Mus musculus: one gene and its partners. The protein of the gene in region 1 purifies or fractionates together with the protein of each later gene. This does not show direct contact. Links are inferred from orthologs where the notes say so. Each region holds a gene or a part of one and is shown in the gene's direction. Other genes may lie near its edges. The genes, in order: Asf1b, Cdan1 and Nasp.

What was found.
Region 2: the proteins of Asf1b (region 1) and Cdan1 purify together in Homo sapiens (co-immunoprecipitation; 5 studies listed by BioGRID and IntAct, counting the BioPlex papers as one, with this or other methods). This does not show direct contact. The link is inferred for Mus musculus from reciprocal best matches to the Homo sapiens genes ASF1B and CDAN1.
Region 3: the proteins of Asf1b (region 1) and Nasp purify together in Homo sapiens (affinity purification with mass spectrometry; 5 studies listed by BioGRID and IntAct, counting the BioPlex papers as one, with this or other methods). This does not show direct contact. The link is inferred for Mus musculus from reciprocal best matches to the Homo sapiens genes ASF1B and NASP.

Annotation. Positions count from the first base shown.
Region 1 is NC_000074.6:83,962,104-83,965,757, forward strand, and holds part of Asf1b (histone chaperone ASF1B), read left to right. Parts: intron 1-2,927; coding exon 2,928-3,043; intron 3,044-3,654. UniProt on the Homo sapiens protein: Histone chaperone that facilitates histone deposition and histone exchange and removal during nucleosome assembly and disassembly. Cooperates with chromatin assembly factor 1 (CAF-1) to promote replication-dependent chromatin assembly.
Region 2 is NC_000068.7:120,718,435-120,721,520, reverse strand, and holds part of Cdan1 (codanin-1), read left to right. Parts: intron 1-510; coding exon 511-639; intron 640-723; coding exon 724-787; intron 788-915; coding exon 916-1,097; intron 1,098-2,272; coding exon 2,273-2,380; intron 2,381-2,593; coding exon 2,594-2,719; 3' UTR 2,720-3,086. UniProt on the Homo sapiens protein: May act as a negative regulator of ASF1 in chromatin assembly.
Region 3 is NC_000070.6:116,617,901-116,621,554, reverse strand, and holds part of Nasp (nuclear autoantigenic sperm protein), read left to right. Parts: intron 1-2,574; coding exon 2,575-2,685; intron 2,686-3,654. UniProt on the Homo sapiens protein: Component of the histone chaperone network. Binds and stabilizes histone H3-H4 not bound to chromatin to maintain a soluble reservoir and modulate degradation by chaperone-mediated autophagy.

The DNA of each region.
Region 1 (3,654 bases):
GGAGTATGAAGGGGATCCCAAGGGTTCACTGTCTACCAGACTAGCTGACAAAGTAAGCTCCAGATTGAATGAGAGACACACATGGGTGCACTCTTGTAATTCCAATACTTGGAAGGCTTGCAGATATGTTATAAGTTCTGGACTAGCCTACACTACATAGGAAGACTGTCATTTGTTCCTTTGTTTTTACATATGTGTATGTATGTGCGAGTGCTCGCAGAGGTTAGAGGACAACCTGCTGGAGTCAGTTCTCTCCTTCCATCATGTGTTTTCTGGAGAATGATTGTGCTGAGTCTTTATATTTTGTGGCAAGTGCCTTAATCCTCAGAGCCAATTCTAAAACCCAACTCTGTCTTTTTTTTTAAAGCTGTGTCTCACATATTGAGATTAAAGGCATATACCAGTGCAATCTATCTTTTGAAGGAAGAAAATATGAAAAAAATCATCAAATTTTAAATGACTGCAGTTTATGGGCCCTGTAGAAGATTTGATCAGCTCTGACTGTAGCCAGTCAGTATTTATGTGGTCTTTTGTGAATTCTTGGGTCTGTTTCTGGCCCATGTCAAGAAGATGCTTCCAGCGTACACTACAGTCTTCCTTTTAATAGATTTTACCAACAGTATTGACCTAAACTAAGCAATGTTAGGTGCCTTGGGGACACAAGGGACTCTTCTGTGTCAAGCTCTTTTTTTGCCTAGTCTTCCCTCCAACACATTAATTAAGTGTATGAATATGTGGCACCATGGAGTATGGGGAAGGGGCCTGAAGAAAGTAGAGCTTGACAGAGCCATCTTAGAAAGTGAGGCCAAGCAAGGGTCGCATACTTTTCTGTCCTTCCAGAATCATTGATTCTAGAGTGTCACTTTTTATAAAACTAAATTTATGGGTCTGGGAGCATGGCTCAGATGCATAGCACTTTTTTTGGCATGTACATACCTTAAGTTCCATCACCAGCACTCCTAAGAAATAAATAGCTAGGGACAGCTAGAAAGATTGTTCCACAGTTAGAGCACTGATTGCTCTTCTAGGGAACCCAGGGTTAGCTCCCATCCCACATAGTGATTAACTACTTCTATCTTAATGGGACAACATACCTTTCATCCAGGAAATTTGAAATTTCAATTTGGATTATAAGTAAGTTCTCACCCCATGTTGGTTTGCCAAAATGTTGTGGTAAATATTATTCTGGGGATTTCTATCCCACTTGGACTATATAGTTTTCAAATGAAAAACAATAACCTTTACCTTTATAATAAGCTTAAAAATTTTAGAGCTGGGCAGATATCAACCTTTTATGTTATTTTGTCTACTTCCCTGTCAATAACTGAGAACTTGCCATGTTCTGCCTGGCCACTCTTACTCCAATAGGTCATGCACTTACAATCCACCTATCTCATGGTAACTTCTTCCTTCTCTCTCACCATGTTCCCTGTCTGAGACCCCAAGCCCAGTACCTGAGGCCCTCCTTCCTCTCTTCTGCACAGCTACATACTGTAGGCATCTTTATTAACCAGTCGGGGATAACATGTGGAGCAAGGTTTACACAACAAAGGCTGGTATACATGAAGATATGCTCATCATGGAGTAACCAGATCTTGGGTACAGAATTTAGCATTTGAATACAAGCAGCACTAGACCAACCCCCTACAGTACCTGTAGTTCCAGCAGACCCAACACCATCTTCTGGCCTCTGTGGGTACAGGCACCAAAGGGCACATAGACCCACATGCAAGCAAACACCCACACACATAAAATAAAAGGAAAGGCACATAAGAAAATAAACTTTAAAAATGAAATAACTAAATAATTTCCCCAAAGTACTAAGGCTGGAGTTTGAACCTGATGAACCATGGGCATGGGGTTACCTAGAAAGATGTAGGTGGGATTGTGAAGGAACAAGAGAGTGGACGTGACGTATAAAGGAAAGCTTTATGGATCAGGTGACAAACTCCATAGTATGATCTGATATCTGTGTGCTTCCAGTGTTGGATGCCCGTACCACACTGGACCAAGAGCCAGGCAGCTTCCAAGAGCTCTCTGTGAAAATTTCAGCTTGTGCAACTTTTCCCAGCTGCTGGAGCTAGGGGTTGTGTAATTTCAAAGAGCCTAAAATAAGTTCTGGGTCTGGTGCCAAGCGTCTCTGTACTAGCATGACCTTGCTCCTGGTAACACTTGGCCCCTCTACAAGAGGCTATGAGTACCAGGGCTCTTCTGAGATTAATAGGAAGGGTCTCCAGGTACTTTTTCTTTGATCTCTTATGGGTATACTCCAGGACTGAGTCCCTTAGTGATGGAGTACATTGTCAGGTTTTGGAGGTATGCCTTGTCATACAACATTTGCTGGCAGAGCCTCTGTCCCACAATGTGCACAAGTAGGCATGAGTTGGTGCCAGATGTGGACAACTTTGGGACAAGTTGGTTCCCCCCCCCCCCCACAGCTTTGCCTTTCCCCTCCTGCCACCTGGCTCTCCTGCTGGATTGGAATCTGCCACCCTGCCCCAGTTATCGAGGGATTTGCTCTACTAGGTGGCACCAATCCTCTGTGAAAGAGAATGAGATGGCACTTCCTACCCAGAGACCAAGGTAGCCCAACTCCCTGCTGTTCCCTCACAAGCTGATGTCACAGGACTCAAGTCAGCCTCTACTATATGGTTCCTCTCGGCTACTGAGAGGCCTAATTTTCCCGGGAGGGCCAGAGTCAAGGTCACTTGGCCAAGTTAGGCCCACAGGAGAAATGTCTCCATTAAAATAGATCTTCATATTTGCTCTTAATCAGGACTGTGGTGCCAGAACCGACAGCCCAGCAAACACACCAGTTCATAGGACCTTCTAGTATATTCAGATTTGCCTAATGCTGACAAGAAGACCCTTGCCTTGCTCTCCAGCTATTTAAGACCTCAGTTCCCTTATCCCCCATGTTCTTGCAGACCTGGAGTGGAAGATCATTTATGTGGGCTCAGCTGAGAGTGAGGAGTTTGATCAGATCCTAGATTCAGTGCTGGTGGGCCCTGTCCCTGCAGGAAGGCATATGTTCGTCTTTCAGGTAAGTAAGTTTTGCTTTAGCTCTTGATTTCCAGAAATGTTTCAGGCTGGAGATGGAATCAGGGCCTGACATACTAGACATTCACTACTGAGCCACACCTAAGCCTAGAACCTTCCTCTTTTACCTGAAAGCACACTGGTTTTGGCAGTCAAGTTTAAGTTCAAATCCTTAAACTTGGACTGGTGACAAAACTACTGTAATCCCAGCTACTTAGGATGTAGAAGCAGGAAGACCACAAGTTCAAGGCCTGCCTGAGCCACATGTCTCAGTTGACTGCCAGGAGCTGTCTGATTGAAGCTATCTTTTAAAGGACCACCACTCTGAACTCACCCAGTCTCATCAGATGTCCTTCCCCTCCCCAGAAGTGGGGACCTCTGGGTCACAGTTCTTAGTGACCACTGGACCACTAATTTGTGATCTGTTCACAGGAGTTGTATAAAACCCATAAACATAGTTCATGAATATTGAACTATTCCCCTCAAGGAAGAATAAGGATCAAGAGTCCTTGTTACTTGTTTATCAGCCAGGGCTGGGCACAGCAGTATATACTTATAACCCAGTACACATAGTTTGGATCCAACTTAAGCTATGCAGTAAGACCTTCTCTCAAA
Region 2 (3,086 bases), on another chromosome or scaffold:
GACTCCCAAGAGCTAAAATAGTATCTGGCCCTGCTCCAAACAAAGTAGTGGTCTTATAATAAAGAAATAGAGACTAGAAAACAATGCCCATAGGTGGGGACTATAGGAAGGAGGGAAAAAGGTATCAAGCTAGACTGCTTCTCAATATGCAGAGGATTTCTAGTTTGAGGTCTCAGAGGAGCATCAAAGAGGAGTATTCAGACTCTAGATAGGACATTTTCCCTTAGTATTTTAAGACACCATCTGGGAATTGGTTATGTAGTTTTATCTCAGTGAGTTTCATCTTTTGAGCTCTGTGGCAGCACACAGTCTACAGCCTTACCACTACATCTACTTCCCTCTGGATTGTCCATATAATTGCTTATCTTAGCTGTGCTGTTACTGCCTGAGCCTCAGCCATAAGAACACCTTGACCCAGTTGCTTCACCCCCTTGGGCTCTGTTTTCCTTCTGCCTCTCTCCATTGGCTGGTTCCCATCCCAAACCAAGTTTCTGGCATTCTGGCATGAAGTTTCATCACTGCTCTCTACAGGATGTGCTCTCCCTGGCGGCCGGGCCTCGGGACCCTGAGGAGGGAGTTTCCCCAGAGCATCTGGAACAGCTTCTAAACCAGATGGGCCAGTCACTGCGATGCCGCCAGGTGAGATGTGGGAAGAGCCACATTGGCTCAGGACCAATCCTCAGAGCAGTAAGAATGACGCCCATGTCTCCTTTCCCCCCATAGTTCCTGTGCCCAACTGCTGAGCAGCATCTGGCCAAGTGCTCTGTAGAGTTGGCTTCCCTTCTAGGTATGTATGGTTCCTCTTCCACCAGGTCCCTCATGCTACATTCCCCAAACCCCAAGGTTGCGTACAAGCAGGGTTAGGAGCATAGGATGTGCTCTTCTGCCTCCATTTAAAACTTCTCTTCCCTGTAGTTGCAGACCAGATCCCCATCTTAGGGCCCCCAACACAGCACAGGCTGGAGCGAGGACACGCTCGGAGGCTTCTACATATGCTGCTTTCCTTGTGGAAGGATGACTTCCAGGGGCCAGTTCCATTACAGCTTCTACTTAGCCCAAGAAATGTAGGGCTTCTGGCAGATACTAGGCCAAGAGAGGTAAGCCAGTAGTTTTTGCTGGTGGGTGGGTGGGTGAGTAGTTAGATTTATGTATATAAATGTTTTTTTCTGCATGAATGTGCACCATGTTGGATCCCCTAGAACAAGGGTGGCTATGAGCTACCATGTCAGTACTGAGAATTGATTTGCAGAGCAACAAGCAACTCTCAACCTCTGAGCCATCACTCTAGACACATACATGTGGATTTTCAAATAGGATCTCAATCTGTAGTCCATGTTGGTCTTAAATTCACAGATTTCTTCCTGCCTCTGCCTCCCCAAGTGTGGATTACAAATATGAGCCATCATGCCCAGCTCCTGCAGCCATAGTGGGAGGTAGTGTGTACTTGTCAGTGAGCATTGTTCTTACTGAACCTGAGACTCACCGATTGGCTAAACCAGTTGGCTTACAGGGTTTCCTATCTAGCCCCACCTGCACTAAGGTTACAGGTAGATACTTGTACTACATGGATCCAAGGAAGAGCTGGCCCTGGGGGTGAGAGTAAGAGAGCTGACCCTTACCCTAACCACCTACAGTACTCCAGAAAGCAGCCTTACACATCGCAAGAGTTGTGGGAGAGCCAGCCCTGTAGATATGAACATAGGAAAGCTGACCCATGCTTCTAGTCTCCCATGACACAGGCCATCATGTTTGCACATCAGAACTTTGCTGAGCAGTCAACCCCTTCATTCCCTGCAAGTCATGTTATTAACATTATCCAGTGCCCACCCCGGATTTTATAACAGCTGCTTCTTTTATTCTCTTCCTCATCCTTGCTAAAACATGCACCTTTTGTCTCAATTTCCTCCTTGGGGCACCTTTTCCTTTTCCTTTCTTTTCTGTGTTTATTTGCATTTATTTTATTTACTTTTTTATTATTTATTTTGGGGTGGGAGGTGGTTCAAGATATTGTTTCTCTGTGTAGCCGGAACTCACTGTATAGCTGGAACTCACTCTGTAGATCAGGCTGGCCTCAAACTCGAGATCTTCTTACCTCTGCCTCTGCCTCCTGAGTGTTGGAATTGCTCTTAACAGCATGTTAAGCTTTATCTCCAACCCCAGCTCCATCCTTTCAGATGTCTACTCTTGGGACTGCTATCCAGTCTTCAGTCTCTACTGTTAGGACTACTCAATGATCCTGACAACTTTTGACTTTCTCCGTGGTGTTTTACAGTGGGATCTGCTGTTGTTCTTACTCCGGGAGCTGGTAGAAAAGGATCTCATGGGACATCTGGAGATAGAAGCCTGCTTAGGCCGCCTTAATGAGGCCCAGTGGCCAGGGGTAAGGAGTCTTAATGTTAATTGCTTTGTCATACATTAATAAACCTTAGTTTACCAGTCATGGAGATTTGTATCTGCTTTTGCATAGAAGACATTAGATGAAACCGCTGGGTTATCAGTGTCTTCCTGGCTGTGAGTGCTTATTTAGGATTGACCTTGGAAAGGACAGAACATCCAGAATTACTTTTTCTCTTAACCTTTCTACTTACTTCAGGACTTCTCAGAAGAATTGTCAACACTGTTTCGCTTGTTCCTAGCTGAGCCCCATCTGCTAGAACCCCAGCTAAGAGCTTGTGAACTTATGCAACCAAACCGAGGGACAGTACTGGCCCAAAGCTAGGGCTAGGAAGCAGCCCTCTTGGGCATGTCACCAGAACCTGCCTCCTGTGCCTCAGGAGGAGCCTCAAGACCCCACTGCACGCCTTGTTGGGGCAAGAGTGTCCAGGTGTGTAACCGGGCTTGCTGCTCCTAAGTGAAGGAAGTGTGTTGCTTCAAGCATCCAGACACCGGCCCGCCTCAACACCTGAGATCTAGAGGAAGGAGAACCTGATTCAGAGTCACAGTGGAAAAGCCCAGAGACTCCGATCTTGGAACAGAAGGGCTGGCGTTTTTAATCCAGCTAAAAGAAATGCGTGTGCTGATCAATGTATTTCGAGCCTCAAGTTGCTATCCCAGCATCTCTTAAAACTGTGGTTCTGAGAAATCTT
Region 3 (3,654 bases), on another chromosome or scaffold:
TAATTTCATTAAATCATTTTTGATATTAGAAGTGACTTTAAAAAAAATGTGGTAAGAAGCATGTTAGCTCTTAATTGTATTCTGTGAGTTGAAATAGGAAGGCTGATTGCCTTTAGCTTCAGTTCATGGTCTGTCAATGTGGCTTGTGAGATCCACTCCCATTCCTTTCTACTAAATGCTGGCATTAATCTTTAACTTGTTATGTAACTGGGGATTTATACCACCATACTGGTTTTATGCTATTCTAGGCTTTAAATCTAAGGATTCATCCACAGGTAGACATTTTCTCAACTTAGTCACACCACATACACCTCTTGGAAACAGTTTTTTAAATTTACTTAGTATTTTTTACTATTTTATGTGTATAGGTGTTTTGTCTACATGTTCATTTATGCACTGTGTACCTAGTGTTACTTGGAAGCCAGAATAGGTTACTAGATCCCCTTGAACTAGATGCCATATGGGTGCTGGGAATTGAATCTAGGTCCAATGCTTATACTGAGCTGTTGCTAGCCTCTCTGTATCACTCACATTCCACATGTACCATGTTTCCCCTTCTGAGAACAAGGCCTTATTTTAGCCCTGACTCACTTGGAACACACCATGTAGACCATGCTGACCTATGCCTATCTTCTCGGTGCTGGGATTAAAGGGTGTGTCACCATGCTTTAGTTTTTTTTTTTTTTTTTTAATTTTATTTTTATGTTTGTGGCATGCCTACTTTGTATATGTGCTTGTATATTTGTATGGTGTGTGTGTTCTGTGCACACATGTTCAGTCAAAGGTACAAGGTTGATATTGGGAATCTTTGATCATTTATTGAATACAGCTCTCTCAACTGAACCCAGATCTTGCTGAGTAGGATCCCTTCTCTACTTTCTAAGTACTGGAAATACAAGTTGGTCTACCCTGCGTTTAAGAGGGTCTTAGGGATCCACCTCCAGTCCTCATGCTTGTTCAACAAGATATTTACCCACTGAGCTAATACTGTAGCCTCCTATTTCTCTGTATAACAGCCCTGGCTGTCCTGGAACTCACTATGCTGACTAGTCTGGCCGTGAATTCTTAGAGGTCTGCTTGCCTCTTCTGGGGTCAAAAGCACAGGCCACCACACCTAGCTCATTTATTTAGGGTATTACCCCTCCTTCTAGAGGGTTTCATATAACACTGGTTGGTTTTAGTCTCCCTGTATTTCCTGTGATGACCTTAAAATTTTAAATTTTTTGCCTCCTTCCAACTGCTGAGATCACAGGTCTGTTGTACCATACCTGCTTTTATGCAGTGCTGGAGATTAAACCCAGAGATTTCTGTGTTTACATACTAGACAAATGCTATCAACTGAGTTAGGTCCATATTTCCTCCTTTTATTTTTTGAGTCAGAGTCTCACTATGTAGTCTTGGGTGTCAGTGAATTTTCAGAGATACTCGTGCGTGCGTGCGTGCGTGTGTAAAACAGAAATATTTGGCTCTTTACTGTTTTTGTTTTGGTTTTGGTTTTTTGAGACAGGGTTTCTCTGTATAGCCCTGGCTGTCCTAGAACTCACTCTGTAGACCAGGCTGGCCTTGAACACAGAAATAGCCTGCCTTTGCCTCCCAAGTGCTGGGATTAAAGGTGTGTGCCACTGCTGCCCAGCCTGCTTGCATATTTCTTTTAAGTGCTGGGATCAAAGCTGTGCCACCATAATCTCTCTGCTTTTGAGACAGGGTCTCCTGTTTCTATAATCTGAGAATGGATATTATAGTTATCTACTAACCATGTTTTGTGTATATGGTACTAGAGACTGATCTAAAGCTCTGTGCATGCTAGGAAAGCACGGTTATATCTCCATTCTCAACCCTACCTGTTTATTTTTTCCATATGTTTTACTTTTAATTTTAGCTAGTAAGCGTGTATATCTTTTGGTTTCCTTGGTGGTTCTTTTGTTGTGTAATTAGCATCTATTTATAATAGCATGTTTTGTAAGGTTTTATGAAAGTTGCATTTTTAATTTTTTTTTAAAGATTTATTTATTGTATGTAAGTTCACTGTAGCTGTCCTCAGATACTCCAGAAGAGGGCATCAGATTTCGTTACGGATGGTTGTGAGCCACCATGTGTGTGGTTGCTGGGATTTGAACTCGGGACCCGGAAGAGCACTGAGCCATCTCGCCAGCCCTAATTTCTTTTTCTTTTTCTTTTTTTTAAAGTAAATGTGACATAGCAGGTCTTCTCTTTTTTCATATAGTATCTTGGTATGTAGTTGAAGCTCATTCTCAGTCATCCTGCCTTTACCTTTACAGTGATCATGGGTGTATGCATCTACTTGGTCAATTTATTAGGTCTTTTTTTTTTTTTTTCCCCCCGAGACAGGGTTTCTCTGTATAGCCCTGGCTGTCCTGGAGCTCACTTTGTAGACCAGGCTGGCCTCAAACTCAGAAATCCGCCTGCCTCTGCCTCCCAAGTGCTGGGATTAAAGGTGTGCGCCACCACGCCCGGCTTTATTAGGTCTTTTTAACTATTATGGTGTAAATGTAATATATCCAATTAATATTGATGTAAACAGTATTTGGCACTAAATATATTTTTTTCTTTCAGTCTGGATGTGGATAGTGAAGCTAAGAAACTACTGGGATTAGGACAGAAACATCTGGTGATGGGTGACATTCCAGCAGCTGTTAATGCATTCCAGGAAGCAGCTAGTCTTTTGTAAGTATATGTTCTGTTGTAAAACAGTAGTAAATAGCTTACAAACTTGTAACAGGTTTTCTATGGGGAGAAAGAAGGAAGATTGAAAGTGGGGTGGGTATAGGAGTATGATGGTAGAATACTTACCTAATATACGTGAAATCCCATGTCTAATTGTCTGAACCATGAAAACAATTCTGGCTTTTTATTTTCTGTGGATGAGTTTTTATTATAATAAAGTAATTTCATTTAACTTTTGAAGAAGGTGATTTTCATCATAGTCACTAATGATTAAGAGGAAAACTAATTCATTTTTTACTTTTTATTATGTAAAATATGCCTCAGAGACGAGTATTGGTGGGGCACTCCTTTAATCTCAGAATTTTGGAGGCAGATGTCAGCCTCGTTTACAGAGGGAGTACTAGCACATCCAGGTATACAGAGAAACTCATGAAAAATTTACTTAGGTTCAATTCTAAGACCTTTTAGGTGATAAGCAAGTACATTACCATTAAGCTATTCCCTTATTCTACTGGGATATCAGTTTGGTTTTTTGTTTGTTTGTTTGTTTTTGTTTGTTTTGGTTTTTTTGAGACAGGATTTCTCTGTGTAGCCCTGGCTGTCCTGGAACTCACTTTGTAGACCAGGCTGGCCTAGAACTCAGAAATCCGCCTGCCTCTGCCTCCCGAGTGCTGGGATTAAAGGCATGCGACACCACGCCTGGCTTCAGTTTGGTTTTTATTTTTTAATTTTTTATATGTATGAATATGTCTCCTGAAAGTATGTACATATGCCATATGTGTGCCAAGTGCCTATGGAATCCATGATTGAGTATTGGGATACCTTTGGTAGTAAATTGTGAGTTGTCAAGTATGTGAGTACTTGAAATCAAACCCAGTTTCTCTGCCAGAGCAGCAGCAGCTTTTTTAAAACTCTCAACTTTCTCTCCAGCTTGACTGCTCTTGATTTAATTTCTCCTACTAAATCTTT